Diceros bicornis minor: one gene and its partners. The protein of the gene in region 4 binds, or shares a complex with, the protein of the main gene of each other region. Links are inferred from orthologs where the notes say so. Each region holds a gene or a part of one and is shown on either strand. Other genes may lie near its edges. The genes, in order: RGL2, phospholipase A and acyltransferase 3, MAPKAP1 and KRAS.

Region 1 (7,320 bases), on a different chromosome or scaffold from region 4:
GGAGGCTGGGAGCTGGATGGGGAAGGGTTGGAAGCAAGGAAAGGATCTGGAGTCAGGGGAAGGTTAGTAAGGGGGAAGGGGTGTGGGGGTCAGAGGTCAGGGTCTCACCGCATCTAGCAGGGTCAGCTGTTCGGCCAAGTGGTCAGCGAGGAACACCAGGACATCCGTGGGGTCAGCAGGGGGATCGCCGGGGAGAGCCAGGGGCTTAGGAAGGTCGGGGGCCTGGGGGGCCACCCGGGACCGGAGGTTGCGGATGAGGTCAGCGCTGCCCCCCCCAACACCCTCCGCTGCTGCATACCCTGTCCGAAGCAAGAAGCTCTCAAGCCGGTCAAGCTGACCCTTGACCTCAGAGCCAAAATCCTCAGGGTGAGAGGCCAGCCAGGTTGACAGTACAGAGATGGCTACCCTGGGAGGAGAATCAGCCGGGGGTCAGCCATCAAGCAGCAGCTCGGGCAGAGGGGCTGTGAGGTTAGGAATCGGGGGTCACTCACCCTTTTGTCCTCTCTAGTTCATCACTAGGACTAGATTCAAGGGCCTCCAGCCTGGGGAGGGGAAGAGATTCTATCTGTCCATTTTTTCCAAACCCCCAGTGGCTTTGACTATTTTGGTAGGATACGCTGGCTTTAGAAAATCCAGACACATCCATGACCCTTGGTCCTTATGACCCTGACCTGTCAGCCATAAGCCCTAGCAGGGCAGATGTGGAGGTGAAGGCCCGGTGGGTGGCCAGGAAGGCTGACATGAAGGTCACGTCAGCCCCTGATGTCCGGGCATCCAGCAGGTGTCTGACGAGGGCCTCCAGAGTGCCAGCTCGGAGCCTTCGGGAGGAACGCGGGGGAGGCATTGGGGCCTGGGGAGACAGGGGACCAGTCACTGACCCTTTCTTCAACTCTGCCCGTAGATCTCTGGGGAAAATCCCAGACCTAGGAGATGATCCAGGCTCATTATATTAAGATTCAGAGAGGCAAAAACACTTGATATAAGTTACACAGCAGAGTCTAGGTCTCCAGACCTCCAACCTAGCACTCTGGCCAGAAAGCCGGCTAGAGGAAGGGGAGCTGGGAAGTGATGGGTCAGAGGTGAGAAGCCAAAGTTATGATCTCACCAAGGGATCAAGAGACCCATACTGGCGGCTTGTGACAGTAAAGATGGCACCATCCTCCTCCTCATCCCAGATAGACACAGGGGCCTGGAGGAGCAAGAAACGAGAAGTCAGACAGTCCCACACCACCCCCCACTGTTCCCAGCCCTCACCCCCAGGCCCTACTCCTCCCTCTGTACCCCTCACCTGTGGCGGCGGGGGACAGTACCAGCGAGTGCGAGGGGTGGGGGGGGCTGGTGACCCCAGGTCTCCCCCACTGGGGCCCAGACAGCCCCCCCCAAGCCGCCTCAGGGCCCGGTGGAGTCGAGGGGGTTGCAGTGGGGGGGTGGATGGAATGCAGGAACCCTGATCCCGGAGATTGCCGAAGCCCCTTCCCCCCAGAGCTGAACTAACACAGCAGAAAAGCAAGGTGCAAAGGGGAGGAGAGGGAAGCGAGCGAGGCAGAAAGCCAGAGGCAGAGACCTTGAGAAGCTGAAACCTCAGTCACCGGCACAGCCGCATGCTCCGCCCTCCCCCGCAGGAACTGGCCAAGCCCAAAGAGTGAGTCCTTCCCCTCAGCCCCCTTCCCCCTGGTCCCTCGGCCCCGGAGACCCCCTCAAGGTGGCGGCTCCGATCCCAGTACAGGAAGGAGAAGGGGAAGTGGGGATGATGTGGGGGGGTAGACTCAGAGAGTCACATGGCCTCAGCCCCTCCCCCAGCCGATCCCGAAAAACCAGCCCTGCCAGTCACCCTGACCTCACCCAGCCTCTGGACCCAGGAGTCCAGGGCCTCGGGGCCCCAAATCCAACTTCTGGCCCCTCCTGAGGGCCCAAATCCTGCGCCCGGCCCGCACCATTAGTCCCGGAGGAAAGCAGGTGACCACCCCCCACTCAACCTCCGATTGTCCCTCCAAGGTCCACGAACCTTGGCTTCCCGCCTCCACCCAGCGCCAGGCGGGAAAGGGGGGAGGGGTCACGAAATCGAAGGGTTCCCTCCCCAATCCCAGAGTCAGAGGAGCCGGTTACTGTGGAAACAAACCCCTCCCCGCCAAACAAAAACAAGGGGAGACAGGGACCGAGACACAATGCCCAGAGAGGTAAGCACACTCAGGTACAGGCGGAGAGAGCCAGAGACCCGCAGGACAGCCCGCCAGACGCTCCAGGCAGTAACAGGGCAGGTTCCTGCGGGCAGCTCCTGAGTCACACTGCCACAGAGAACCACAGAAACGCCGGGACTTCCCGCAGCGGGGAGACGGGCAGACACCCAGCAAGAGGTGCGGAAATAACTGAGACAGAGAGGAAGAAATGCAGGGACATTTCAAACGCGGAGAGAAAGGTGGCGAGTCTCTGAAATATAGACCCCCTGCCTCCCACCACCCACATCTCACCTCGTCTTCTTCCTCCTCCTCCTCTTCCTCCTGCCCCCCGCCCACGCCCCGGCCACCTGGGCCCCCACCCTCTTCGGGATCTCGGCTCCGGAAGCTGCTCAGCACGACTCCCCCGGGGGGGCTCGTGTCCCAAAGCAGCCGCAGGGGCCGCGGGAGCATGGCCGAGCGAAGGAATCAGCGGGGTCGGGCCATGGGGGCGCCTGGGGAGAGACAGGAGGGGGGGCAGGTGGAGAGTCAGGTGGGCGCGGGGGAGGTGGGAGGGGAGGGACGCGGGTGGGTGTCTAGGTAACCGGATAGGAGTCCTGCAGGGAGAATGGGGCGGGGGGGAGGGCCACAAAGGGGTGGAATATAGGGGGCCCTGGTGTATTTTGGGGATGAGGGGGGTCACGAGTACGGGAACGGGCAGGGTCGTAGGGTGTTCTGGCTCTGACCTGCTCGGGAGGGGTGGGGGCAGTGCGGGTCCCGGGCCGCTGTTGCCGTCGGTCTCCGGCCCCCGACCGAGTCCCGGGACCAAGTCCCCTCCGCGGCTTTTCCGCAACCCCTTGCACCCCCCCGCCAAGCTCCCGGGCCCTCCCGCCCTTTCCGCTCCCCCCCACGTCCGCCCGCTCCGAGAGCAGGAGCCAAAAAGGGAAGGAAGTGAGGACAGGAGCCAGGGCCGCGGACTAGGGGAGCGCTGGACGTCCAGGGGCCGGGACCCAGGAGCCCGGGCCGCCAGCTCCGCTGTGCTCGGGCCCCCTCGATTCGGTGATCCTGGAGCCCACGTCGCCCCACATTGAATTGGGATAAAGATTCCAGTCTCCAGCCCCCGGGGGAGGGCAGCAGCAGTTTGACAGTCCTCTCCCCCCACACAACAACGAGGCTAAAACTCCCGCGCGAAGCGTTTCAGGCGGAGAAAGACCCAGTTCCTCCACCCCCGGGGTTACACTCCCCGCCCCCACCCACGCGTGCAGCAAACGGAAATCCACTCCGGGTTTTCCGAAGAGCCCTCGGCGGCCGCCGTCCCGTAAGGGGGCGGAGCAGGAAGCCGCCGCATCCGGTTCCAGAGTCTGGGCTCCGGGTTTCCGGCTGCAGGCTGGGATCTGCGCTCTCCTGAGGTCGCGCTCCCGCCCCGAGAGCCCGCTGATTGAGGGCGTGCTGTCCGCCATTGGTGGCCCCCGACCCCAAACTTTTTCGAAGGGGGATTGGGTGTCGCCAAGGCGTTTGAGAGGTTGGGGTAATTGGAAGGGACCAGAGGTGACTGGAAGAGCCGTTGCGCTTGGACAGGGGAACCCGGGATAGAATGAGACACATTAGAAGCACTGGAGCACAACTTTATTCCCACACGATTAGACCCGCTCCCCGCGTTGCCCTGGGCGACCGTCCGGCCCCTCGGAGGACCCTAAGCCGAACTGCCGCTTCCTTCGTCCGATAGTTATTTGATCCAACACTTCTTATTGAAGACTTAGGACGAGACGCAAAAGACGATAACTTAAATTGAGCCCCCTCCAGTGGGCGCCAGGCCCTGAGCGGCGCAGGGCTCACAGCAGCGGAAGAGACAGGATGGTGCTGGGCTTCGAGGAGCCGACAGTCCGGGAGGGGAGACAGGCATTTAACAGTGACTGGCACAATCACTTAAATACAACCGTGGTGAGCCGCACAAGAGGGACACGGGGCAGTCTGAGGGGAACGACGAGGCTGACCTGATCTGGAGCCCAGGGAGGGCGAGGGTGGACCAGGCAGAGGGAACAGGGCGCTGGGGCCCCGTGAGGGCGGGAGGCCACTGGAGGAAAGGCATAGCCGTCGGTGTGATGAGCATTGAGAAGGCTGGAGGGCATCAGGTGGAGTTGAAGCTGTAAGCAGTGGCTCGGCCCGGAGGCCAGGGCAAGAAGAATGGATTTGACCTCTAGAACACGGGTTCTCCAAGTGTGGTTCCTGTCTCGGAGGTCCCTATTTCACGGGACATGTGAGGTTAAGACTATTTTCGTAACAATACTGAGATGTTATTTGCCCCTTCACTCTCATTCTCTAAAAAATGTACAGGAGAGTTTTCCAGAAGCTCATGTGTTTTGACATCGCTCTCACAGCTAATGAAATTTGTGCTTGTGTATTCTTGTTTTAATTTTTCTCAGTTTGAAGTTCTAGTACGCTGAATATCTATAGTTATAACCCACATGAGCAAATGCTCTTTAGAGTTCTTGATAATTTTTAAGAGGTCCTGAGACTAAAAATTTTGAGAACCACTGCCCTAGAGCTCTAAGAAGGTGCATGCTATAGATTTGTGTCTTTTAAAAAAGGATTCCAGCCACTCAGTGGAGAGAGATTGGAGGGAGCAGGAGCAGATGATGGTGTAGTATTTGGGGGAGCTACTATAGTAGCTCAGACCAGAGATGATGGTGGCTTCTGCTGGATGATGGTGAGGGCCCTCACTGTGCTTTCTGGAAGAGAAGTAAAAAAGAGGTGAGGAATTCAGGGTTTTAGAATGCAGGGTGAAGTGCTTATGGTCAATCCAGAGATAAATGAACCATCATGGGCACAGAGGGTGGCAGAAGAATGGGGCTCACATTTTCCGTGTGTTTTCTGCCTGGCAGACACTGTGCAGTGAGTGCTTCTGCTCCTGCATCTTCCAAAGTCTCCTTTAACCCTTCCAACAGCCCTCCTGGGCTCCACTGTCCAATACAGTAGCCATCACTCATGTGTGTCTGTTGAGCATTTGAAATGTGGCTGGTCTGAATTGAGGTGTGCTGACAGTTTAAAATAAACACCTGGTTTTGAAGACTTCAGATGGAAAAAAAGACTATGAATTTCTTATATTGATTACATGTTGAAATGATAATATGTTGGATATATTAGATGGAATAAAGTGTATTAAAATAAATTTTACCTGTTTCTTTTTACCTTTTTAGATTATTTAAATTCACATATGTGGCTTGCATTATATTTCTATTGGACAGCACTGCCTAAGTAATTTTTTTTATCCCCACCCCCAAGGAAACTGAGGTGTTGGTTACGTAATACGTTCAAGGGGTCCTACAGTTAGAATGGTAGTGGCAGGATTTAACCCAGGTCTGTGTGAATTCCAAGTCCGCGCTCTGCCCACCACACCAGCGGCCTCCCTCCATGGGGGAAGGGGATCAAATGAGAGGGGAAATGGAAGGGGCGGTGGAGTGCTGTTACCTTCTCCTTTGACTCCTTGGAAGTGGACCAATAGGCAGCTGTGGAGAGAGATTGAGAAGGGATGGGATGGGGGAGTGGCAGGGCAGAGGGATGGGTGTCAGGCTTCTGGGAGTAGGCAGGGAGTGTCCGCCAGTCGCGGTCCCGTTCGGGGTGGGGCTCACACTCACCAGCCCAGCACAGTGCCTTGATGAGGCCCAGGAGGAGAAAGGCAGACAAGAAGAGGCCTATGCCATCCTCCAGGGAGGGCCCGGAGAGACCTGGCAGGCGAAGGGGCCAGAGTGAGTCCCGTAGTATCTTCCCGGGAGCCCGCCCCTGGCTTCTCTATCCTCCTGGCTCTTACCTGCCACCTCCAGGGTAACCTCAGCACTGCGCCCCAAGGCGGGCAGGCTGGGGTGGTGGACGCGGCAAGCGTAGCGTGCCCCATGCTGCTCGGTGGTGACCGGGGGTGGCTGCAGGTGTCCGGAGAGGCTGACAGAGCCGTCTGAGTGGTGGCGCAGGGCAGAAAGCCACTTCTCTCCCCTGGCCTTCTGAATACCGCCCTCTGGGCCTCCCCGGAGCTCCCATTCCACCTCCAGGCCTTCCGAGGGGTAGAAGTGGGACACCAGGCAGAGCAACTCTGGGGGAACCTCTCCGGGGGCAGCCCATACAAGAGGTGCTGGCATCAGGGACACTTTGGGGGGCTCTGGAGAGAGTAGGAAAGGAGCATGGGGGGACTCAATCCACATTGTCCTTTCTCAGAGACCCTCACTTTGCCCTCTGGCTTCCCCAAAACTGAGGGGGGTTTGGGTTTTTTCTTCCAGGATGGGGAACCTACTGTCTTCCCACTGGTGCTTCACAGGAATCCCCATGCCAAACCCCCCATTCTCAGGGACCCCTATTCCCTCAGATTTGGAAACCTTCATCCCAAAGCCCCTCAGATTCTCAGGGACCCTCTACCCATTGCCCCTCTGACTCTTAGGGACCCCAATCTATCTCCCCCCACTCACCCCCCACTCTCTTCTCCACCATCCCTCCTCCTATCATGATGTCCCCATAATCCCAGTGCCTACCCTCTACCCGTGGGGACCCCTGTCCCCTTACTCACTCTGTACAGCAAGCTCCAGGGTGACCTGCCCTTGCAGGTATGGCAGGTGTACGGTGGCCAGATAGGTGCCCTCCTGGAAGGGCCGCACTGCAGGCAGCCAGAGGGTCCCGTTTCCAGTCCATGGACCCCACGGCTCATCATCATCCCAAGCAGCAAATGCCACTGCCCCCTCTTCGGCAGCTGGCATTTGCCCACCTAGCCCAGGAGTTGCAGCCAGGACCAGGTGACCCTTACCCAGGTGCTGGCGTCGCCACTCCAGCCCAAAGGGAGGGGGACCTGGGGACAGAGATGTAGCGGCCTCGAGGGTGGGGGGCAGGTAGGCAAAGCTCAAGTCCAGCAGAGCATCTTGTCCCAGTCGGATTCGAGGGGTGGGGGTGTGGGTGAGGACAGTCAGCACAGCTGGGGAAAATGGGGAGACGAGGGAGTGGGAGGGGCATGAGGGAGAGAAAGAAGGAGAAAAAAGAGAGAAATGGAGTTATAGGGAGGACTCAACTCCCCACCCCTCAGAGGACACCTCCTTTTCTGATACTCACCATCTCCCAGCCCTTCCTACAAATCCCCTTTGCTCTGGGACTGGGTGGGGCCCAGTGTGGCTGAGACTGAGCAGAGAAGTCT
Region 2 (6,875 bases), on a different chromosome or scaffold from region 4:
CAGGGAGGTCCAGGGAGCAGATTTAACCAGGAACACTGGTCAAGCCCTAAGAGCCAGGCAGTGGCACACCCAGTGCCGGGAGGTGGAAGCCGTATTCCCCGGGTGCAGACAAATAGAAATGGGTTGTCCGCAGAGAATTTTAAAACAATACGACACAACAAAAGTCAGTCTGCTGTGTATTACCACCATCTGCCAACAATTTTAAATAATAGTGATAAAATACTACTCCCCCTAAAGCTATTGTATTGTTTTAAGTTCTCCTTGTGGCAATTACTGCTGAGATTTAATAATATATATGTGAGCCTCAAATTAGCACATTTTTATTTCTTATTCTTTAAAAAACTTTGTCTTCTCCATGGCAGTTCAATCAGAGAACACCCAGTTATGCAGTCAGCTGCTGACACATAGGCTCAGCTACACATGTCTGTTCCCACAGCGAGTTCCGAATCGCTCAGAATGGTTTGAACTTTCTGCACAGTTTGTGTCACCAACCCCTGTGGTTCTACATTTTCCTGTGTTTAAACAGAAGACAAAGAGCCTGCTCTCTCTAAACCATTCGTAGACCACCTGCTTCTGGGTTGGAATTTCATGGGTAGCAGAGCAGCTCCCTTGCTGCGATCTATTGCAAGTCAGCCTCAACACAAGGGTTTTTAATTTAAAAATTTTAAAAAGAGGGAAAAAAGAGTCTGCTCTCCCAGTGCCAGAAGAAACTAAAAAGAAGTGTTTGAAAGCCTGAATCATTTTCACCAAGAGCCAGACTCTCATTCTAAAGCAATGGTTTAAATAAATGTCAATGTTTACCGTTGTTCAGCCGTTTTCTCTGACTTTTGCAGAAGAAGAAAATCTCGGGAGAATTTTGCCAAAGATAAAAATTTATGATGAATTTTCTGGGGAAGATGTTTTAGTGAAAATGTTTCAAATGTGGAGATATTTAGAAGCCACTAGAATTGATTTAGGAAAAAAAAAAGACAGGCATTATTGCAATGTCTGAAATTTATTATGAAATGGGATTTTTACGAATCTCTGACAAACTTATCCTAATGTTTAAGGCTTTTCCTATTTGGATATGTGTTGGTTCATATGAAGAGAAGCTTTTGAAATTAAAATTAATAAAAAGGGTTCTTCAATCAACTGTGAGCAAAGATGAATTGACAAATCTAGCTTCACTGAATATTGAACATGAACATGCAAAGAAGATCAGTTTTGACAAAGTCATGGTCAACTTTTCAGAAGTTAAAGTTCCAAAACAGAAACTGTAATGTTATTATCATTCATTACTGTGATCACCCTATATGTAAGAATAAGTTGTTTTCAAAAATACGTGAATGCAATTAAAAACCATTAATCCATTACTTTTTTCTATTTTTCTCTCTAACTTTATTGATTTTTCATTTTTTATTTTTTCACTGACATGACTTCATATACAAAGCTCAATAAAAGGAAATTTTCACTAGGTTTCTTTTCTGGGCATTATTACTATTTATTTCATGATTGTGACTGGAAATAATGTCAGATGAAAGAGAGAGAGATTTAAAAACGACAGCTCCAGGCATCAAATAAACCAGGTACACTCTGATGCCAGGTGCGGTGTGAAGCTCTTTACCAGGATTGAAATAATAATAATAATAGTGAATTACAGTTGAGCACTCAATAAGTGTGTGAAGCACTGTTCTGAGCACTTCGTAAGTATTCAGTCATATAATCTTCACTCCCCGGAACAGAGGGGTTTTGAAACTTGATCCAAGAGACGCAGCTAAGTGCTCAGCGGGAACACAATCCCCGGGGGTCTACCTCACAAGCTGGCGCTCTGAACCTCTCTGCCGCCTGCCAAGGCCCTTTATGATTTCCGAACCACATCACAGGTTAGAAAACGAAAACGTGAGAGCTTGGAAATTGCTGGCAGGGCTGGTCATGAGGTGCGGTCAGCTCAGACCAGAAAAGGCCCCTGCGGTCAGACCCAGGCGAGGCCTGGGGTAGCAGCTCCTGCCCCACTCAGCCCCAGCGGCCAGTCCAGGCGTTCTGGCCGGACTCAGGACGGCAGCACAGGGCCTTTGCGGAGCAAGTCGTCCCTTCTGCCTCCCTCTCCATGTAGGTCCCGCAGGGCCTGCCTTCCCGGAGGCCGGTTTCAGCAGGGCGGCCTCCACACCTGCCCTCGCAAGTTCAGGCACCGAGACGACTCCAACAGGTGCCCGCTGACCCACACCCACTCCTGCTGCCCAGCGGCTGCGGAGGTGTGGCCCCACCTCCTCAAGCATCGTCTCCCTGAAGTGACAACTCAGGCCCGGGACAGCGAGTCCCCACTAAAACACGACCCCCAGCCCCAGCCCACGCCCGCCCCACACTTACGATGGGCGCGCGCATCTTCTTTCGTGACGTGGACTCTCAGTTTCAGGCTGGAGTTCGCTTTCTCAGCAGTGTAAGTGCCTGAGGCAGGGAGAGCAGGAGATTCTCTACGTCGTAAACAGGAAACAGCGTCCCCGAGACCCCAGGGGACGGGGGTTTCTGGTGGGGAGACCGTGCGCTGTGCGTCTGCCACCGGATTCAGGCACAACCGCCTACTCCCTCGGAGTTCCCCGCCCGCCGCCTCCCTGCCCTGCACTTGGCCCAGAACCCACGCATCCCCTGAAGGGGGCAGGGGAGGGTCACCCGATACTGAGAGGCTTGGCGGCCCAGCTGCAGGGAGCGCGATCGGTGTCGCCTGCCCAGGGCGCCGCGCCCCAAAAAGTCGGCCAGGGCGCCGCGCCCGGCCCTCCCTCCCCGGTCCGCGGTGCCAGGAGGCGGCAGCTGCTTGCAGGCTGCTCCCCAACTTGTTTACTCCCGCCTCACCCAACTTCTCCCTCTCCCACACAGCCCTTGGGACCCGGAGAGCCGCCCCAAGCATCCCACCCTTTCTTAAGTCCCAGGAAGAACCTGTCCACCCACCTCTCGGACTTGGAGGCAGCGCGGCCGCCACTGCAAAGAGAACGAGTTTAATGGCCGCAGAGGCCAGACCGGCGTGAGGTCACCGGGCCCCTCCCTGTGTGACTGGCTAATGAGAGCCACGCAGAGCTCCCTGCCCCCGGCACAGGGACAGCGGGCTCCGGCCTCTGGGCTGGACAAGCCAGGATGCCTCCCTCTCACCCCGACCGCCTCTCCCCACGTCCTCCTCTGCCCCCCTCTCCCCGACACACTGGATCCAGCTCCAGGGCCACCTCCTCACCTCTTCTACACGCGCTCTGCGGGCCCCCCAATATTTAAGAACGTGTAGTATTATACTGTTCTCTGTACACACATCACACTGGAGTGCAATCAATTTACTTATCTCCTCCACTCGAGTGGGCTTATAGTTCAAAACTATAATAAATTTTAAAGCCATTTGAAGGCAAGGGTCTAGCAGAGAGTATTTTTACCTATTGGGTCTTAAGCCATCAGATATCCTTCAAACCTCGCATACAGTAGGCATTCCATGAATGAATGAATGACCAAACACAGGGCCTTCCTCTGCACTGGTTGTGGCTCCACAAGAGGAGAACCAGCTCCGGTTCATCTCTATATTCCCGCCACTCCCAGCCAGCACTGAGCCTTGGGATCAGGATGCTTGCGCCAAATCCTGGCCCTGTCACTTGCCAGCTATGGGGTCCAGGGCATCCTTCCCTCTCTGAGCCTCAGTCTGTTCATCTGTAAAATGGAGTGATGATGATCTTGTACAATGTATAAGATAATATATAAAAGTACATTCCTCAAAGGGAGAGCAACAAATGAAATGATGCTTATAAAAATGCTGAGCTTGATGTCCGGCACATGGTAAATCCGCAGGACACATTGGCTATTATTTACACGAGGAAAGGTACACGATCGTCAACATCACACATTATTCACCAGCTTCCCGACAAGGAGAGTCAGAGGCAATTTAGATAAATACCAGAACGCTCTGTGCATTACCACTCACCCAAGAAATTGTCATATGTATTGAGCAAGCAACTCTCTGTAAAGTGGTCCAAATCCAGGATGGAGAAGTTCGGTTTTGAGGAAACCAGACTGACTTCTGCTTCTCCTTACTCTCTGCTTCCAGAATGGCCCAGATGTCACCTCCTTTACTTGTTTTTCCTATTGCTGTGCCAGGAAAAACAAAAAACATCCTGAGGGGCGGGGATATCAAGAAAGTGATTTTTACCTTTCACACAGCTCTCAAAAGAGGAGCTCTGTACGAAAGGCCCCAGGACTGAGAAGCTGCCAGCAGATGATGCCGGCACCATCGTCAGCAAGATCACCCCTAAGCCCCATTCCAAGTCCATCACACGGGACAGGGGGACAGCCCTGCCAGGATCAAACCAATACCTGCCTCCAAAGCCTCTGGTCTTTTCTGCAATCACAGTCACGGAGCCCCGTTCTTCTTCTTCTTGTGATAGGGGAGAAACATTTATTTTTAATTATTTTAAGTCTTCCATTCTCTGCCTTCTGAGGAGGATGAATTCTCCTCCAGGAGAATCCACTGTTTTGCTGTCTCTGAGGAAGGGGTAACTGAGAAGGTGCGAGGAAATGGCACAAGGCTAAATGCTGTGAAGTGGGAGACCCTGTGGGGGTTCTGAGCGGGTGGGGTGGGAGGAGAAGGCCAGGGCAGGAGGAGAGGGGAGAGGGGAGGAGAGAGAGAGGACAGGCAAACCGCATTTAAGGAGCAGAATCCGTAGCAGCATTCCGTGATAACATGAGGGTTTCTGTTGCTTAACAGCAACTCTAAAAACAGGAAGAGTAGGGGCCAGCCTGGTGGTGTAGTGGTTAAGTTCACGTGCTCCACTTCAGTGGCCAATGGTTCACAGGTTTGGGTCCTGGGCATGGACCTATGCACTGCTTATCAAACCATGCTGTGGCGGGCATCCCACATATATTTATTTTTCATTTATTTTTTTAATTTATTTATTTTTTGTGAGGACGATCAGCCCTGAGCTAACATCTGATGCCAACCTCCTCTTTTTGCTGAGGAAGATTGGCCCTGGGCTAACATCTATGCCCATCTTCCTCTATTTTATATGGGACGCTGCCACAGCATGGCTTGACGAGCGGTGCATTGGTGCGTGCCCAGGATTTGAACCTGCAAATCCCAGGCCACCGAAGCAGAGCACGTGCACTTAACCACTTCAACACTGGGCCGGCCCAGGCATCCCACGTATAAAGTAGAGGAAGATGGCACAGATGTTGGCCCAGGGCCAATCTTCCTCAGCAAGAAGAGGAGGGTTAGCATCAGATGTTAGCTCAGGGCTAATCTTTCTCACCAAAAAAAAAAAAGCAAAAGACAGGAGTAGTCCTCAGGAGAAAGGTCCTGAGGCTCCATTAGCCAAGTGAATACAGGCCTTTTACATGTGTCCCAGCTACTCTGGTGAGGCTTTGTGATTGCGCCAATTTTGACAGTTTGCTCTGACCAGAAAAATCAGGCTTTTATGAAAGAAAAGGAAGGGGAAGTACAACTTCTTCCTGAATCCCCTATCTGTGAAACTCCTCAAGTCCTACAGAAGCTGAGAACAAATCCCTGTTGCGAGGCCCTGAAAAGTTCCTGATACTGGCCCTGATATGGGTCCACTACATTAAACCCAGCATATATGGGGTTAAAATCAAAAGCACTCACTCCCTTTGCTTGCTTCTCTAAGTTATAGTCCTATGTAAATATTGGTTTTTTAAACCTTTCTATCCCTGAACTTCCCAAGGCAAATAGAAGTTACAGATTGTTAGAGCCCAGGTGGCCTCATGCTAACATCTTGGCTAGTTACGGGTCCTTGGAAGTTTTATTACAGGGAAACTGATATCCAGAGAATATCAGGAAGCTGAAGCTTCCCAGACCCCAACTCCTCAGCTTACTGGTGCCAGAATCCACCCTCCACCACAGAGGCAGGCAACCAAAGACACCCACCTGCGATTCTCTTATCTCACCACCCCCTCCCTGCAAGCAGCCTCATAAGGCCAAACACAGGCTGGTGGGAAAGCACCAACCAGCAAGGCCACAGGCTCCCCCTCCCTACAAGCAGCCACATTCCTCACAACCTTTGAAACCCCTTTCCTCCCATCTTTCAGGGAGATGAGATAAATTTGAGGGCTGACTCTCATCTCCTGGCTAATGTCACCTGAAATAAAAACCCTTTGCTTGCCATAAGCCTGGTGTTCCAATTTTTATTTGGCCCCTCTTGTGTGGCAGATAAAGAACCTGTGTTTGTGTCCAGTAACAATTTGGCAAGCCAGCCAGGGGGCTCTTGGCCCGTGGCTCCGTGGCCCTGGCCAACTGGGATTTCCTGGGAAGCAGTCTATCAGCTGCCTAGGTGATTTGCCCTAGGGACTGTCCCCCGTAGTTTCCTTCTGACCCAGAACTGCTGGCCCTACACACATTTTCTTGTAGCAAAGAAACAGGCTCTAGATTTGTTTGTGTTTGCTTCTGGTGAGTCCACAGACTCAATCTGGAATAGGGTAAGTTGCCTCAGGGATGCCTGTGAACTCTTTTCCCCTCCATCTGGGGTCTTTCCATTTAAGGCAGGGCCATCTGGGGCCACTTCCATTTGTGGAGGGGCTATCTGGGCACGCATTTGGAGTGGGAACAGTTGTACCCTAAATCTGGGAGCTGGTTCACTGGTGTCTGGTTTTTCTGTGTCTGGATCTGTATGTCTGTCCATCTCTGTGTAACAGAATGGGGAACATGCTGTCTGTCCCCAAGTGGAGCCCATTGGGGCTGATTCTGAGTAGATGGTCTGATCATAGTTATGAGCCAATGTCTAAAAAGGGATGATTTTCTTTTGTAACACCACATGGCCACAATATTCTTTAACCTCCAGAGAGTAAATGGCCAAACAATGGATCCTTAAGTTGGAAAAATTTTTAGAGAGCTCTCATCATAAACAACTGTTTTATTGGTGCCT
Region 3 (7,653 bases), on a different chromosome or scaffold from region 4:
TTGTACCATAGGAGTATAAACGCCTATGTTTTCCCTATGGGAGGAAAAAATATATTTTAAAAGGAGAGGAAACCAAAACTGGGAAAATAGCAGAGAAACATATTCACACATATAAGATACTAAGAACACACATTTGTGGGCTGGCCTGGTGGCATAGTGGTTAAGTTTGCGCGTTACGCTTCGGTGGCCCAGGGTTTGTGGGTTCGGATCCCGAGCACGGACCTATGCACCACTCATCAAGCCATGCTGTGGCAAGCATCCCACATATAAAGTAGAGGAAGATGGGCATGGATGTTAGCTCAGGGCCGATCTTCCTCACAAATAAATAAATAAGAATACACATTTGCAAGCAACTGGAAAGTGCTTCCATTTTCCCACCGCTCTGGGAGGGCTGGAAAAAGCATTACTTTCATCCTATTATGTTTACTCTCAGCTTGTTGTCATACATTTGGCAAAGTGGTATTTTCCATATGCAAATTCTGCTTATACAAAATAAGATTTCCAATTGCTTCATTTCACATGCACATTTTGAGCACATTTGCATTTAACACAAATTTTACCAAGTGTTTACGGTGTTATAAACTTTCAGTATATAGAAAGAAATAAATGTCCCTTTCCTCATGCCCTGTCAGGGAGACAGATGTGTATTGGAAGAACCACAGAAAATGTGATAAATGTTGAATACAGAGAATGAAACTCCTTATGTGGCCTATTAGGGAGAGGTGATCTGGGAAAGCTTCCTGGAGGAAGCAGTATGTGAATTGGGTCTTCAAGAATGAATAGACTAGGGCTGGGCCAGCGGCGTAGTGGTTAAGTTTGTGTGCTCTGCTTCAGCGGCCCAGGGGTTCGCGGGTTCAGATCCCGGGCACAGACCTATGCACCACTTATCAAGCCATGCTGTGGTGGCGTCCCACATACAAAATAGAGGAAGATTGGCACAGATGTTAGCTCAGGGACAGTCTTCCTCAAGCAAAAAGAGGAAGATTGGCAACAGATGTTAGCTTAGGGCCAATCTTCCTCACCAAAAAGAATGAATAGACTATACTTAGAAGGGGTTAAAATGGCATATATGTAATAAAAATATTTTTTAAAAAGCACATTGAGGTTTATCCTTTTAGAATACTGCCACTGTTATGTAGAAACCCAAGATAGCCACTAGAGAGGCCACAAGGAGAAAAACTAAGGTGCCTTGGCCAACATCTCCAGCCATTTAGACCTTCCAACCATTCTAGCCGCCATTTGACTGAAAGTACATGAGCGAGCCCAGGCAAGAGGGGCAGAAGAACCACCCATTAAGCCACAGAATCTTGAGAAATAATAAATGGTTGTTGTTTTAAGCCACTTAAAAGAAAAAGATGGGGGCCGGCCCAGTGGGGTAGTGGTTAAGTGCACGCACTCTGCTTTGGCGGCCCAGGGTTCACGGGTTCAGATCCCGGATGCGCACCGACACACTGCTTGTCAAGCCGTGCTGTGGCAGCGTCCCATATAAAGTACAGGAAGATGGGCACGGATGTTAGCCCAGGGCCAGTCTTCCTCAGCAAAAAGAGGAGGATTGGCATTGGATGTTAGCTCAGGGCTAATCTTCCTCACACAGAAAAAAAGAGGGGCTGGCCCCATGGCATAGTGGTTAAGTTTGGCGTGCTCTACTTCGACAGCCTGGGTTTGGTTCCCGAGTGTGGACCTATACCACACGTTGGCAGCCATGCTGTGGCAGTGACCCACATACAAAATAGAGGATGATTGGCCACAGATGTTAGTTCAGGGCGAATCTTCCTCAGCAAAAAAAAAAAGAGTAGGAATTTGCTGAGTGGAGAGGGAAAGGGCAATTGAGGCCTGAGCAGGAATTGCTCAAGCAATTGTGTTTCAGGAAAGCAAATGCATAAAGGGACCTGATTCTTGCTACCCATCTTGGTGTGCCAGGCCCTAAGAGCTGGCATTTATAGAACAATTCCTGTATGCTGGAGAAAGTTCTAAGCACTCCATGCATTACCTCATTGAATCCTCACAACCTAGATGAGGAAACTGAGGTAGAGAGGAGGCAGATAACTTGTCGAAGTCCACACAGCTAGTCCGTGTCTTTGAACCTCTGTCTGTTGCCCATGTTCTAGTCCTGTGGACCAGAAGAAAAGGAACGTCTATCCCCTACCATGGCCTCCTTTCCAAGTTGTCGTAGGTATGCTGAGGTATTGATCTCTCTGCCTTCATGTTTACTGGAGTCCCGCGACCAGCCCCTGGCCCAGCACCATCGGTATGCTGTAAAAATAATTTTTTCTGAGTGTGTCAGCTCTCACGGTCTTACTCCCATGGACCCCTTGGTCAGGCCAGAGATCAACGTATACTTTGCTTTTTAATGCCACTTGCATTCACTCTCTGATACAGCTCCCACTGCTTGGAGGCTAAGCCATCCGGTTGGCCTATCCTCTCTCCTCCTCATCCACCTCCCTCCCTCAGTTGCAGAATGGCTTGGGAAGCACCCCTGGTTTCCTTTTCACATCTGTCCATCATCCTGGAGCTTTGGAGGCCACACGGCATCTCAGTTCCTTGACCGGCTCATCTTCAATAACTTTCTCCTCCATTCCACTTCAGCCAGGACCTCACTCTCACACCCTACTCTCTTCATCTGAGGTTATTCGTTAAGACATCCATCTCTGAGGATAACCTCCATCTTTCTGCCTGCCTCCCGCCATCACTGACTTCCATTACACCTCTCCTAGGACCTTCAGGCCAGTGACATGAGCCTTTCCTGAATTCTCTTACCTCTCTAGTATCCGTTCTGTGGCCCTTTGTTTTAAGCACTCTTTAAAGCTGAGATCGGGACCGGCCCTGTGGCATAGCGCTTAAGTGCATGCGCTCCGCTGCTGGCGGCGCGGGTTCAGATCCTGAGCACGCACTGCTTGTCAGACCATGCTGTGGTGGCGTCCCACATAATGTGGAGGAAGATGGGCACGGCTGTTAGCTCAGGGCCAGTCTTCCTCGGCAAAAAGAGGAGGATTGGCATGGATGTTAGCTCAGGGCTGATCTTCCTCACAATAAATAAATAAAATAAAAACTCTAAAAAAAAAAAAATTCATTGTTAAAGCTGAGATCTTAAACTCCTGACCCCATCACGCCTGTCTGGCAAAACTCCTACACCATCAACTGTCCAGCGTCTAGGGTAGGCTTCATACATAGGCACTCAGTAAGTATCTGTGTACTGACTGAAGTGTAGCAATAGTGGTAAGCATTTTATATACATGTTAGCTACATGCCAGGCTCTATTCTCTGTGAATAATATGTATTAGCTCCTTCAATCCTCACAACAACACTCTGAGGTCAGTTAGGACTTTCGTCATTCCCATTTTACAGATAAGGAAATTCAAAAAGGCAGCTTGGAGAGATGAGGTCATAAAACTTGTCAGTGGTAGAGTGGATATTCAATCCTTAGAACCCATAAATGCTTAGCATGTCGAGTTGATTTCAGTTTTAGATAGTTTGTTTTATGTGTCTGAGGGACAATCAGGCAGCTGTGCTTCAGACTGGAGCTCAAGAGAGAAGTGAAAGTGAAGATTAATATTTAGGAGGGGACAGATAACCCGGTGACCTCGGAAAACAGAATATCCAAGGTTGTTCACACCCTTTTCTTTGACAGAGCGCCCCCAACAGGCCCCCAATGAAACTGTGGTGGTGTGTGTGAAGGAGCGCATTTGGGTGTTAAGGTGCATTTTTTTTTCCCCCATACGAGCTAAGATCTATCCTATTTGAATACATGGGGGTGGATCCCTGGTGTATTTGTTGGTAACTGTAATATTGGGTAAGGATCTCCAAGGGCTGAAATTCAGCCTTGACTTTTTTTTTTCTCCTTTCGCTAAGGCGCATTTTTCAGGGAGACTTTCTGGACCATCTCTGGGCTAGGAAAGATACTATATCCTTCACCGTGCCTTCCCCTACTGATTCTCTCTGAGATATACAGAGACCTCAAACTATGAGCTCCTGTTCTCCGCCAGTCCTCATATCTCATGGAAACTTCCCTACAGTTCTTGAGGAAGATAATTATCATCTCCGTTTTACAGATAATGAGTAATAACTAACATTTACTAAGTGTTTATTACGTGTCAGGTACTGTGTCGTGTTTTTAAAGCATCATCCCATTCGAGTCTCACAGCAATACTCTAAAATTGGAACTCTGTATGGATGAGAAACCCGAGGGTCAGAGAGGGGAGGTGTCTTGTCCTAGGATACACAGCAAGCTAGAGTTGGCATTTGAACCTGGGTCTTCTGACCCAAAGGCTAAGCAGCCTCATCACTTATTTCTGGATGAACTGAGGGCTTTTTTCTGTGGAAGCGGGGAGAAAGGAGAAGGAGATTCGAAGGGGAATGCTAACGTTGATTTCTACTTAACGCAAATCCAGAAACTGATGTGATGTTGTCTGACTCGCCGCTACTCTCTGACCCAGGATTTACCCGGGGCCGGGGAAGTGGCGCGCATGCGCACGGCCTCCCGTTCGGCCCCGCCCCCCCAGGGAGGGCTTCTCTCCTCGCTCCCGGCTCTGGGGCTTGCGCACTATGTCCCCAGCTAGTGGCTCCTTCCCGGTGGGGACTTCCGGTGCGGGGGGTGCGGTTCCGGGTCGTGGCGCGGCTCGGGGCGATAGGGCTGATGCTTGTCCGGCCGGCGGCGGCGGCGGCGGCGAGCAGCAGGGGTATGAGGGCGAGCCCGGAAAGCGGCAGCTGAGCCGGCCGGGAGAAGTGCCAGTCCCCGAGGATTCCGAGAGTGCGGAGCTCGGAGCAGGGGCCGGGAGGCGCGAGGGAGCCGGGCCCGCCCCTCGGGAACGTGTCCCGGGGCCGACCCGGCCCGTAGTGTGGCAGCAGCTTCAGGTAAAGGTTGCCCCCGCCAGCTCCCTCGCTCGCTCTCCCGCCAGCCCACCCGAGGAGCCTGGTGGCCCTCCTCGCCCCTCCGCTCTCGGCGCTGCCCGGCAGGCAGCCTGTCCGGCCCTTGCTCAGGTCTCCCGTGAGCATCCGTTTCCTGGCCCTCTCCGGAACTGGAGGCTGCTGTGAGCCTGACAGCTGGGCGTGCGATTTGGGGGAGGAGCAGCTAGTGGACCTGGTAGTGTTGAGGGGGTTGGAAGGGTACTGTTGGCTCCGGCAGTTTCTGGCCCTACACTCGGCATCTAGGTGTCCTAGTCTTCATAACGCGAAAATCAAGTTTTTACAGCATTGCCTGTGTGGTCCCTGTTTCCTAGCGCCCCTTCTCCCTATTGCCCCCAGAAGGCCTCGCAGAACTGTGTTTTTCTAGCTAGAGTGCTGCTGGAACTTTGGTTCAGCCTTTTGTTTATGGGAGTGGCAAGGAGTCTTCTAGATCTGTTTAAGGCTGGAAAAAAAAATGATTGTAGTTTAAACAAGAGTATTACTTTAACCGGAGACCCATAAGTTGACTCAGAAATTAGTTAAAATTTCGTTCTGAATGAGCGCAAGTAATTTTTGAAGCCTGTCAGTACCTGGCACTGTGCTAAGCGTCATGTTATAAACCAAAACCAGCAAAGGTGGGAATTTCCCCAGGTGTGAACAGTCAGATGGAGACAAGTGTTTATACACATCAGTTCAAGTCAACATTCTCATTCTATTTTGACAGACAGAAGGGGTGGATTCCTAATTTAAAAACCCACTAGAGCAGGAAAAGGAGGCACCATGTTTTATTCTTCATAGTCTATGAGCCCACACAAGGTGCTCCGTAAAGGCTGAGAGTTCTTGATGGAGCACTGATAATTGTTTTCATCTTTTCGATATACGCACTGGCAAGCTTGCTGGAGCCTGTGAGGCATGCTAGTGGCCCCTTTGCCATTCAGCTTTGTACTCATACCTTCCTTCAGCTACTGTGATATGAGATTGCACTCACACTCCTCTGCACCTCCTGATCTGGCTCCTGGCTAACTTTACAGCTACACGTGAAAAGGCCTCTTTCCTTAATTACCCTACTCTTATCCTTTACTCTGGATAAGTAGGACCTCAAATCACTTTTGTTCTTTGTTTTGTCCATTGTTTTTTGTAGGACATTCTCTCTGCCTAGAAAGTTTCTGCTTTTCGATTTCCACCTACTGAGATGTTACCTGGGGCCCAGTTGAAACTGGCCTCCCTCAGCCAATTCAGGACAGCCCCAGCTGGAAATGATTTCTTTTCTCAAATCCTGTAAACACTCATTATTACATCTGCAATTATTTCCTGCAGGGAGCTCAATTTAGTTAAGGAAATAATTCCAACACAGAGTGATAAGTACAGTGTGAGTTCTGTCTGTGATACAGTGGTAGCCCAGAAAGGGCGTGGCTCATTAACTTTTGAGGAGTATGCTGTGGCCAGGTAATGCTTCATAACGTGTGGTTAACTAAGCTTTATTATTTACTATGTACTGGATATTATACATAGATTTCTCTTCTTCAATCATTTTAACCTCAATTTCCAGATTAGGAAGACTCAGGATAAATTACATGTCTGGTATGAGGCAGAGCCTGGAGTCAAACCCAGGTCTGTCTGATGCCTACATCTGTGCTTTTTCCATTATGTGTTTTGCCTTCTTTCTCACACCATAGCTCTCTATGTGCAAGTACGTATTGAAACAACTAGACAAGAGAAAAAACATGAATGTCAAAATAAATGGTACAGATAGTCTTTTAAATGTAGAGAAGACTGTGAACTTCCAAGGCAAGAAGGTGGTAGGTGGGTCAGCTCAACTTTGAATATGAGTGAGAAAGACATTCTGTAGAGAAGTATGGACTCTGGATTCAATTCCTGGTCCCTTCTCTTACGAGATATGTGACCTTTGGCAAGGTTCTTAATTCTAAGCATTATTTTCCTCAAGTATGGATTGGGGTAGGAGGATAATATTGATCTCATGGAGTGTTGTGAATATTTAATGAGCTAATGTAGATACAGGGCCTGATACATGGCAAGGCCCACTGAAGTGATAGCTGTAAGATGTGAAGGTGTGAGGCCCGTGGCATGGCATTAGAGTGGTGAGTAGACAGCCTGAATCCAGCAAACCATTGCTTCTTTTAGTGGGGACACCAGGAGGTGAAGTTGGAGGGTCACTAGGGGTCAGAGTCAGTGAGGGCTTGAGTGTCAGGCAAGAGGGGCAAATTCTAGTTTCTGCTCATAACTTTTCCAGTTAATAAACACTTTGAGGATCTGTGATTCATTCAGCAGTCCCAGGGCAAATGTTAGACCCTTGGGATGCAAAGAGGAAGAAAACAAGGTCCCCACCCTGAGGTTGTTGACATTCCAGTGGGGGAGACGAATTTGTGTGCAGATGAACGGTAGTGAAGTACTGTAGGTACTAAGATAGCAGTCCCCATGGGGTACCATGGAGCACGAAGGAGGGAACACTGATAATGGTGGTTAATGAGCACTTACTGTGTGCCAGCATCATGTTAAATGCATTATCTCATTTATTCCTGTACAGGAAGGTGTTATTAGCATCCTGATTTTACAGATGAGGGCACTGGAGCACAGAGCGGTTAAATAAATTCCTTGCAGGTATTGGAGCTGTCAGTGGAGGGGATTATCTGCTAGACTTTGGCATCTCCACTCTTCATTACTACACCGTGTTGTTTCTGCTGTGTACTGTGGATGGGGACCCTCTGGAGAGGCGTCTGAGAGGAGCTAACCCTTGAGCAGTGACTTCAGTGT
Region 4 (7,664 bases):
AATACTGATAACTTGTAAGATTAACAGCACAAGACAGAAAATATTTTTTAATCAGTTGTTTCAAACTTTTTGAAATAAAATGAATAAATTTAATTTTATCTTCTTTCCCTCAACAACTACATGACAGTATTACAAATAAGAAGTGAAATGCAGAAAGAATGGCAATAAATGCACACTCATTTATTATAGAATAAGTAGTTCCAAATTAATGAATGTGCAGATATTGTATATAAACACTATATGCATGCAGCATCCTATTTACTGAAGACCAAGAATTATCCAAATAGGCACCAAAAAAAAAAAAAAGATAATATCGTTTTCCAAATGATAACATACTAACCACCGCCTCACCCTATTCCTGAGCCCTCTCACAAAGAGCAGACAGGCTACACAACTGTTGTATCACAGACCGTTACATTACAGCTCCCTGGCCTATTCTGCACCACCCAGCCTTACTCGCTGCTCATCTGGGGCCACCCTAGGAGCCACTACTAACATCTATCTTATCCCATTTGCTCTCACTTTTTATTCTAAATATAGGCCATAGCAAATGGGATAGACGAGGAGAATCACACCAAAATGTATCCTCTAGCTCCCTGCCCACCTCACCCCGCAAAATAATTTGGATAGCATAGAACAGTAGTTCTCAAAATGTGGTCCAAGAACCCAATGGGGCTCCTAAGACGTTTTGGAGGTCCAAGAATTTCATAATACTATTAAGATGTTTTACCCTTTCCACTCTTATGCTGTCACAAGTATAGAGTTTTCCAGACGTGTGATCACAATAGATTGAATGCAGAAGCTGATATGAGAATCCAGATGTTTTCTATTAAGCCATATAATTAAAGAGATTTGCAAAAGTGTGAAACAATGGCACTCTTCTCACTGTTTTATTGTTTTGAAAAATAGTTGTTTTTGCATTAAAAAAATGCTATTTATGTTACTAAGTAATAGGCCTATTATTTCTATTTTTAAATGAATTAATAAATTTCTTAAATTCTCAGTTTTAATTTCTATTATGGTAAATACTGGCATACCCCATATTGGGATCTTCAATAAATTTTAAGAGTGTAAAGGGGTCCTGATGACCAAAAAGTTTGCTAGCCTAGGTGATACTGTGGACAGATGCTGGATTAGAGCTTAGTTGTGCATACATGTGTGAATTCTGAAAGACAGACACCTTCTTGGTCTACTTGTTTATGCAGTGGTTGTTTCAGAAAAAAATCCTTGAATTGGATTTTAAACACCAAGTAATATTTAAATCCGCTAGAGAGAACCGGCTTCCCAAGGAGTCTTACTGAAGATCATAGGCCAGAAAGAGTCCCCTCACCCAAAGATACAAAAGCAAGGGGTGGAACTGGGACCAGAACCTAACATTTTGTTAAGCAAAAAAAAAATTCACTTTTATTTGTCATGAAACTGAATTATCACCTCATCTACCATCTCTTAAAACCAAGTATGCCTGTGCCTGGCTGCAGTCTCAAAGTAAACAGTATTGATATCAACCGTATTTGATGTCTATAGTCTATTACATGTTCGAGTCAGCATTTTAGACCTTAGTCACCTAAGAGTGACATCACTCATTTAGCTGCTTCTGAGATGATGATTACAACACAGACTTTTCCCCTTTGTAATTTCTTTGCAAATGACTTTTTTTCCATTACAAATGTAACAGGTACGTTGTGTAAAAATCAGAAAATACCTTTCTGTTCTTAGCCTCTTATTTTGATGGATATCAAGATATAAAAAGGCTAGCGCAGGGCTTCAGCTATGGTATGCACACGCCTCAGAGTATTTCAGGCAGTTGGCCGGCAAATTGCTACAATTAACTCCTCTCCTAAATCAGTTTAAAAAAATTGTGTGAGTGCTGTTTAGGAGTACTGTAATAACTCTTGGGATGGGGGTCAGATGCGTAAGGATGAGGGGAATATAGAAGAGATGGGGGAAAGGACAAGAACAGGCAAATTAAACTTCAAATACGATTTTAGTTATTGCCGTCTACACTCACCTAGCAAGGAAAAAGCCCTGCTTCTGCTCTGAGGGTTTTCTACGTGTGTTTTAACTTGACAAAGCAAAAGAGACCTTCTACGATTAACTTTTTCCTTTTCACTAAGTCACAGGCTTTACGTTGTAGGGTGTTGGCCACCTGTTCTTCCACCACCATCTCTACCTCCACCTCCTCCTTTGTGGCCACAGCAATGTCACAGCCCATACATGGGGGAGGGGAGCAGTCAGGAACTCGGCTGCAGATGCATTTTTTCCAAACACAATAACCTCAAACAGTGGTCTCTAAGCACTTTCCCATGCTCTGCCAAAACCTGACCTCCCCTCTTACCCCTATACCCCGCTACACAGTGAGGACCACTATCCGTCCGGCCTGCGCTCGAGGGAGAAGTTTATACCTTCGTCCTAGAGATGCTAGATGCAGCCGAGAAGGCAGTGACCGAGGCAGCCGAGCGCTGGGAAGGGAGGAAGAGGTGCGGGAGCGGAGGGAGGGAGAGGGGAGGACGACGAGGGGGAGGGGAGACTGGAGCGCAAGCGGGAGTAACCTCCACCGCACCCGACCGCCCCGAGGGGCAGCCCGCCCGGCCCGCGAGTTGCTCCCCGGCCGCCTCCAGCCGCGGCTCTCGGGGAGGAGGAAGGAAGGGGTTCCCCGTCCAGGAAGCAGCACAAGCGGCGGCCGCCTCTAGCCTCACCCTCCTCAGCCCCGCAACGCCCATTCCTCATTCCCCGCGTCGCCGCGGCCCCGCGCCTCCCCCTGCAGACCCCCCGAGCCTGTCTGCCCGTCCGCCCGGGCTCCGCGCCCGCGCCCGCGCCCCCTCCCCGCCCCTCCAGGGAACCCTAATTCATTCACTCGCCGCCGGCCCCGCCCGGCGCCGGCGGGGAGGGTCGGGACCGGGGCAGGGGCCCAGGAGGGGTGGTCCGCTCCGTACCTCTCTCCCGCACCTGGGAGCCGCCGAGCCTCTGGCCCCCGCCGCCGCCTTCAGTGCCTGCGCCGCGCTCGCTCCCAGTCTGAAATGGCGGGGGCCGGGAGTACTGGCCGAGCAGCCGCCACCGCCGCCGCCGCCACCGCCGCCGCCGCCGCCACCGCTCTGCCTCCGCCGCCGCGGCCGCCGCCTAGGGAAATCGAGCTCCGAGCACACCGATGGGTTCGGGGCCGGGCGGCCGCAGAGGGCAGAGCTATTGATGCGCTCGGTGCTCGATTCCTCTCCAGACGGGCGATCGGGGAGGGAGCGGCTGAGGGCGGTGTGGGAAGAGGGAAGAGAGAGAGCCGGCGAGCGCCGCTGGGGAGGAGGAGGGGCCGGGCCGGGCCAGGGGAGGGGGGCGGGCCGGGCCGGCGGAGGAGGAGCGGGGGCCGGGCCGGCGGAGGGAGGGGGTGGCTGGGGCGGCGGACGACGGGGAGCCCGGCCGGCGGAGCAGGGGGCCTGGGCGGTGCCTCGGCGGCGCGGGAGGAGGGGCTGCCGACCCCACGCGGCGGCCCGCCCCCAGGCTCCCGCCGCAGAGCCGAACCCGCAGCCGCAGATTCGGACCCGGGCCGGCGCGCGATCGGTCGCGCGCACACCGCAGGGACACCTGAGCGACGCCAGAGGCGACCCCGCCGCACCCCTCTCGGGTCTGCACGCGGAAGCTGCGAAAATCCCGCCACCCCTCGGGGTCGGCCTACACTTGTGCACATTCATTTACTGTCATTTGCTGCCAGTAAATAAACACGCAGTCATGAAATGTGGGAGGCGACTTCGGTGACTGGGAGAGACCGGCAGACAGTTCCCCACCCCGGGGCTTTCTCATCAAGGCTTGGTGATTATCAGCCTCAACACTGGGGTTGGGAACCTAGCCCCAGGCCCAAACCGACGTGACTAACCCTTTCATCACTCGTCTTATTTGTTGTTGTTTTTATGGCTATTTTGAAGCCATCACAGGTCACTCTAAAGAGCGACCTCAAATGTACCTATTGCCCCTGACGGCACAAGCAGAAGACAAACTATTTTTAAGTAGAAGTGCCTTTGATAGTTTAGACCTGAGGGGAATCATTGACACATTAATTAGAAGACTGAGATTAATCAGTTCACATTTGGGGAGTTAACACATTAAACAATGAAACAGTTACAACTGCTGGCATACCCAGAGTCTGCGCTGATAAACTACCTAGAAAGGTAAATTGAGTTTTAAAGATTGAGGCCTGGCAGGCCAACGCCTATACCTAATGGAAACACCCATCTGAATCTCTACTTCCAATTGTGTCCCTCTAGTCCATGTCATAAAACATGGGTTAAACAATTATTTTAAATCCCAACGACTGTGTCTGTTAACTTAAGCCTTACACCAACTGTCAGCCTTTTTTTCGCACCCCCTATGTGGGCTGTAGTCTGGAAGGCTTATTGGGTCCCCCTCGCCTTGCTCCTGGTACTAGGTGGAACAGACAGGACAGGAAGTAGAAGACAGGGATGGGAAAAGAATATGCCTACTCTTTGTCAAGTAGTTGCTAAATGTTTCGCGCATACATCTTATTTAATCATCACAGCAACCTTATTTTATAGATGAGGAAACAAAATCAGAGAGGTTGAAAATTGAGCTCCAGCAGCCCTATGGCTTAGCGGTTAAGTGCGCACGCTCCGCTACTGGCGGCCCTGGTACGGATCCCCGGCGTGCACCGCCACACCACTTCTCTGGCTGTGCTGTTGTGGCCGGGTCCCACATACAGCAACTAGAAGAAGGATGTGCAACTATGACATACAACTATCTACTGGGATATGGGGGAAAAAACAAAGGAGGAGGATTGGCAAGAGATGTTAGCTCAGAGCCAGTCTTCCTGAGCAAAAAGAGGAGGATTAGCATGGAAGTTAGCTCAGGGCTGATCTTCATCACAAAAAAAAAAAAAAGAAAAGAAAATTGGGCTCAAGTTCACACCGCTAAAATGAAGTATCTTTTAGGTCAGACCATGTTCACTCCTCTGCTCCAAACTCACTCATGCTCCCATCCTGCTTAACATCAAAGCAAAGTCCCCTTACCTCTCTGAACTCATCCTACGCGTCTCCCTTCCTCACTTCTGTACATACACACCGGTTCCTGGCTGTTCCTTGAAAATGCCAGGCAGGCTTCTTCCTTCCTCGGGGCATTTGCACTTGCTGCCCCTCTATCTGGAACACATGTCCACTATATATCCATAACGCTTCCTCCAACACTTATAAATCTTTGTTAAGGTGTCTTCTTCTAATGAGTTCTTCCCAAAAGATCATCTTTGATATTGCATCTCTCTCTCTTTCCCCCAAATCCTAAATATTTGGGGAATGTTGAATAAATGAAGTTGTGTACCCTCCTTCTGAACTCTGTGACTCCACATCCTTACTTAGACGGAGTGCCTTAAATTCTCTGTGATCTCTGTTTTCACCTTCTTATAAAATCTGCCTTTAAACACCCCCAGGTCACCTTCTGATAAACTGTACCCTACGGACTCTAGAAAAGTGTCCACACATAATGGACACAGTGGGTTTTTCTTAAATGAATGAATTTGCACTTATTTGTATGTTGTTTTGTAGTCACTCAAATATATATCACAGATTTATTTTGTCCAACTTCTGCAAGTACATGATAAGCTCTTGTTTTCTCTGACAGCTGCTGATACAATATTCTCCCTGTAGTTGGGGCTCCATAAATCTTACAAGGACTATAATATAGAGAAGTGCTATTATAATATATAGCACTTTCATGGTGATTATAAAAATTCTGGCGTTAGGAGAAACCTAATCCATCCACATGGTCTCTGTTATCATCTGGGCTCACAATTCCCAAAGCAAGTCTTCATCCCCCTATCTGTTCCGTACACCTTACCCTCCAGCTTCCCCTCACACAGTTCTCTCTGCTTCCTTGTCACTCCGACAGCAATGTATATATTTGCTATGTGGAGCTTTTCTGCCATTCAGTCCTGAGCGCTTTCTCAGAAGCCAGCAGCCTCCTCCCCAACACTCTCTGTGTTTCCTTGACACATGGCTTAGAGCAGTGATCTCAAAGGAAAGCGCTTCATGAATCACCTGGCATACTTACAAAAATGCAAGTTCCTAGGCCCCTCACCCTTATATTCCATTCAGTTGGTCTAAAGCAAACCAGAAATCTTCATTTTTAACAAATCAGGTGATCCTAGACTGGTGGTTAGCAGTCTGTATACAGAGAAGTGATCTGATCTAGATGTGATACTCAGATTCCTCTCTTTTCTTGACAGCTGTGCTTTCTTCTATCTTTTGGGTTCCTCTTCTTCAAACCTAGAGGCTGCATTGAATAGTTTCCCTGGCTCTCCCTTTCTTTGCTCTCCCCAAGGACAAGCACACAGGCTCATTCTGTGATCGTGATGGGAAAAGATAGAGGGAATAACAAAAAGCTTAAACTTGGTAATTCCAGGCTTGCTCTACAATGTAACTGAAGTTTCTACCCTCTACTGTTAACTTTTCTGGGAAGGCAGCCACATACACATGTGCACGTGCTCACATCCTTTTAATCCTGCTTTGTGAAGATCATATTGACCCTTCAGGAGATACCCTCTTCTGAAGATGTAATCAAAGCCAAAATAACAGGAATACCCTTGTGTTAGTAGGGATCTTACAAGATGTAAAATGCCAGGACATGTTCAGAGCACTGCAAATGCTGAGGGTTTATTTTAAGGAAATAAGGAAACTTTAGCAAACTGTATCATCAGCCAGGACTACTAGTCATTCCAGGAATCAACAGCAGTTCTTGTGATCCAGTAACAGGCTCTGGTGCCTCACTCATCCTCTCGTTAACGAGCATGTACTGCCCACATTCTAGTAATTTTGCCATTCTCCTGAATCAGTAGCTCTCTGATTCTTTCTCATACAGTCTCAGCTTCTACCACTATCTCTGCTTCCCATGACACTCTCTGTGACTTACATTTAAAACATCCCAAGGGAGAGGATCTGAATGCATCTGTCATTCACTATCCAATAAGAAGGGTCTTTATGGGACACAATTTTCCTGACGGGCCACGTGATTGGTGACTGGCCTTCTTTATGCCTGACTTAAAGACCATTGCCTTAGTTTGGGTGCTAATCCTGGATGCCAATCTGTGGCCAGAGTAGCAGAACACAGAGCAGGAAAAGTTAAGCAGGAGGAGCCCTATGGATGCTTTCATGGACTCTATATCGGTTTTCTTTTCTTTTTTTTTTTTTGAGGAAGATCAGCCCTGAGCTAACATCCATGCCAATCTTCCTCTTTTTGCTGAGGAAGACTGGCCCTGAGCTAACATCTGTTGCCATTCCTCCTCCTCTTTTTTTTTTTCCCCCTTTTTCTCCCCAAAGCCCCAGTAGATAGTTGTATGTCACAGCTGCACAGCCTTCTAGTTGCTATATGTGGGATGCCGCCTCAGCATGGCCGGACAAGCCGTGTGTCGGTGCGCGCCCGGGATCCAAACCCAGTCCGCCAGTAGCGGAGCGCGTGCACTGAACTGCTAAGCCCCTATATCGATTTTCTCAGGGGGGAAATTTGTACCACTGAATAGGTGCTATTTAATTCATTTACCCAGCACATAATTTCCTATGGACATTTATTTCATTAGACTTTATATTCTTTTTTTGCATATCTGTTTTCCCCACTAGGTTAATTCCAAAGTCCCTGCCTCATTCAATACTATATCCCTTGGATCTTAGCACATAGGA

Evidence for each region.
Region 1: the proteins of KRAS (region 4) and RGL2 are in contact, whole or in part, in a crystal structure (PDB 8B69), measured with the Homo sapiens proteins. The link is inferred for Diceros bicornis minor from reciprocal best matches to the Homo sapiens genes KRAS and RGL2. Residues at the interface, in NP_001356715.1 of Homo sapiens: Ile24, Gln25, His27, Val29, Glu31, Asp33, Pro34, Thr35, Ile36, Glu37, Asp38, Ser39, Tyr40, Arg41, Lys42, Tyr64; in NP_004752.1 of Homo sapiens: Ile651, Arg653, Glu660, Asp661, Gly662, Ser663, Val664, Tyr665, Lys666, Ser667, Ile668, Leu669, Lys685, Lys686, Asn688, Arg689.
Region 2: the proteins of KRAS (region 4) and phospholipase A and acyltransferase 3 are in contact, whole or in part, in a crystal structure (PDB 7C41), measured with the Homo sapiens proteins. The link is inferred for Diceros bicornis minor from reciprocal best matches to the Homo sapiens genes KRAS and PLAAT3. Residues at the interface, in NP_001356715.1 of Homo sapiens: Ala11, Gly13, Lys16, Ser17, Tyr32, Asp33, Pro34, Thr35, Ile36, Thr58, Ala59, Gly60, Gln61, Asn85, Asn86, Lys88, Asp92, Tyr96, Lys117; in NP_001121675.1 of Homo sapiens: Leu65, Tyr66, Asp67, Val68, Ala69, Gly70, Ser71, Asp72, Lys73, Tyr74.
Region 3: the proteins of KRAS (region 4) and MAPKAP1 are in contact, whole or in part, in a crystal structure (PDB 7LC1), measured with the Homo sapiens proteins. The link is inferred for Diceros bicornis minor from reciprocal best matches to the Homo sapiens genes KRAS and MAPKAP1. Residues at the interface, in NP_001356715.1 of Homo sapiens: Ile21, His27, Val29, Glu31, Asp33, Pro34, Ile36, Glu37, Asp38, Ser39, Tyr40, Arg41, Leu56, Glu62, Glu63, Tyr64, Ser65, Ala66, Met67, Asp69, Gln70; in NP_001006618.1 of Homo sapiens: Phe280, His287, Gly288, Phe289, Ser290, Leu291, Ile292, Gln293, Lys307, Lys310, Arg311, Arg312, Lys313, Gly314, Ser315, Phe363, Glu365, Ile369, Val374, Met377, Leu378, Ser380, His381, Tyr484, Glu487, Ser488.

What each region holds. Positions count from the first base shown.
Region 1 is NC_080753.1:31,159,539-31,166,858, reverse strand, and holds the start of RGL2 (ral guanine nucleotide dissociation stimulator-like 2), read right to left. Parts: upstream 3,007-7,320; 5' UTR 2,900-3,006; intron 2,669-2,899; 5' UTR 2,628-2,668; coding exon 2,469-2,627; intron 2,438-2,468; exon of another isoform or gene 1,938-2,437; coding exon of another isoform or gene 1,843-1,937; exon of another isoform or gene 1,838-1,842; intron 1,830-1,837; exon of another isoform or gene 1,289-1,829; intron 1,190-1,288; coding exon 1,106-1,189; intron 851-1,105; coding exon 672-850; intron 543-671; coding exon 492-542; intron 407-491; coding exon 109-406; intron 1-108. Other genes in the region: TAPBP (tapasin), read right to left, coding at 4,871-4,882, 5,009-5,146, 5,622-5,659, 5,789-5,878, 5,962-6,303, 6,706-7,104. UniProt on the Homo sapiens protein: Probable guanine nucleotide exchange factor. Putative effector of Ras and/or Rap. Associates with the GTP-bound form of Rap 1A and H-Ras in vitro.
Region 2 is NC_080770.1:9,290,189-9,297,063, reverse strand, and holds the start of phospholipase A and acyltransferase 3, read right to left. Parts: upstream 3,012-6,875; 5' UTR 2,923-3,011; intron 2,425-2,922; 5' UTR 2,362-2,424; coding exon 2,347-2,361; intron 1-2,346. UniProt on the Homo sapiens protein: Exhibits both phospholipase A1/2 and acyltransferase activities. Shows phospholipase A1 (PLA1) and A2 (PLA2) activity, catalyzing the calcium-independent release of fatty acids from the sn-1 or sn-2 position of glycerophospholipids.
Region 3 is NC_080767.1:33,988,505-33,996,157, reverse strand, and holds the start of MAPKAP1 (target of rapamycin complex 2 subunit MAPKAP1), read left to right. Parts: upstream 1-4,636; 5' UTR 4,637-4,851; intron 4,852-7,653. UniProt on the Homo sapiens protein: Component of the mechanistic target of rapamycin complex 2 (mTORC2), which transduces signals from growth factors to pathways involved in proliferation, cytoskeletal organization, lipogenesis and anabolic output.
Region 4 is NC_080756.1:37,462,139-37,469,802, reverse strand, and holds the start of KRAS (GTPase KRas), read right to left. Parts: upstream 3,007-7,664; 5' UTR 2,947-3,006; exon of another isoform or gene 2,934-2,946; intron 2,519-2,933; exon of another isoform or gene 2,403-2,518; intron 1-2,402. UniProt on the Homo sapiens protein: Ras proteins bind GDP/GTP and possess intrinsic GTPase activity. Plays an important role in the regulation of cell proliferation.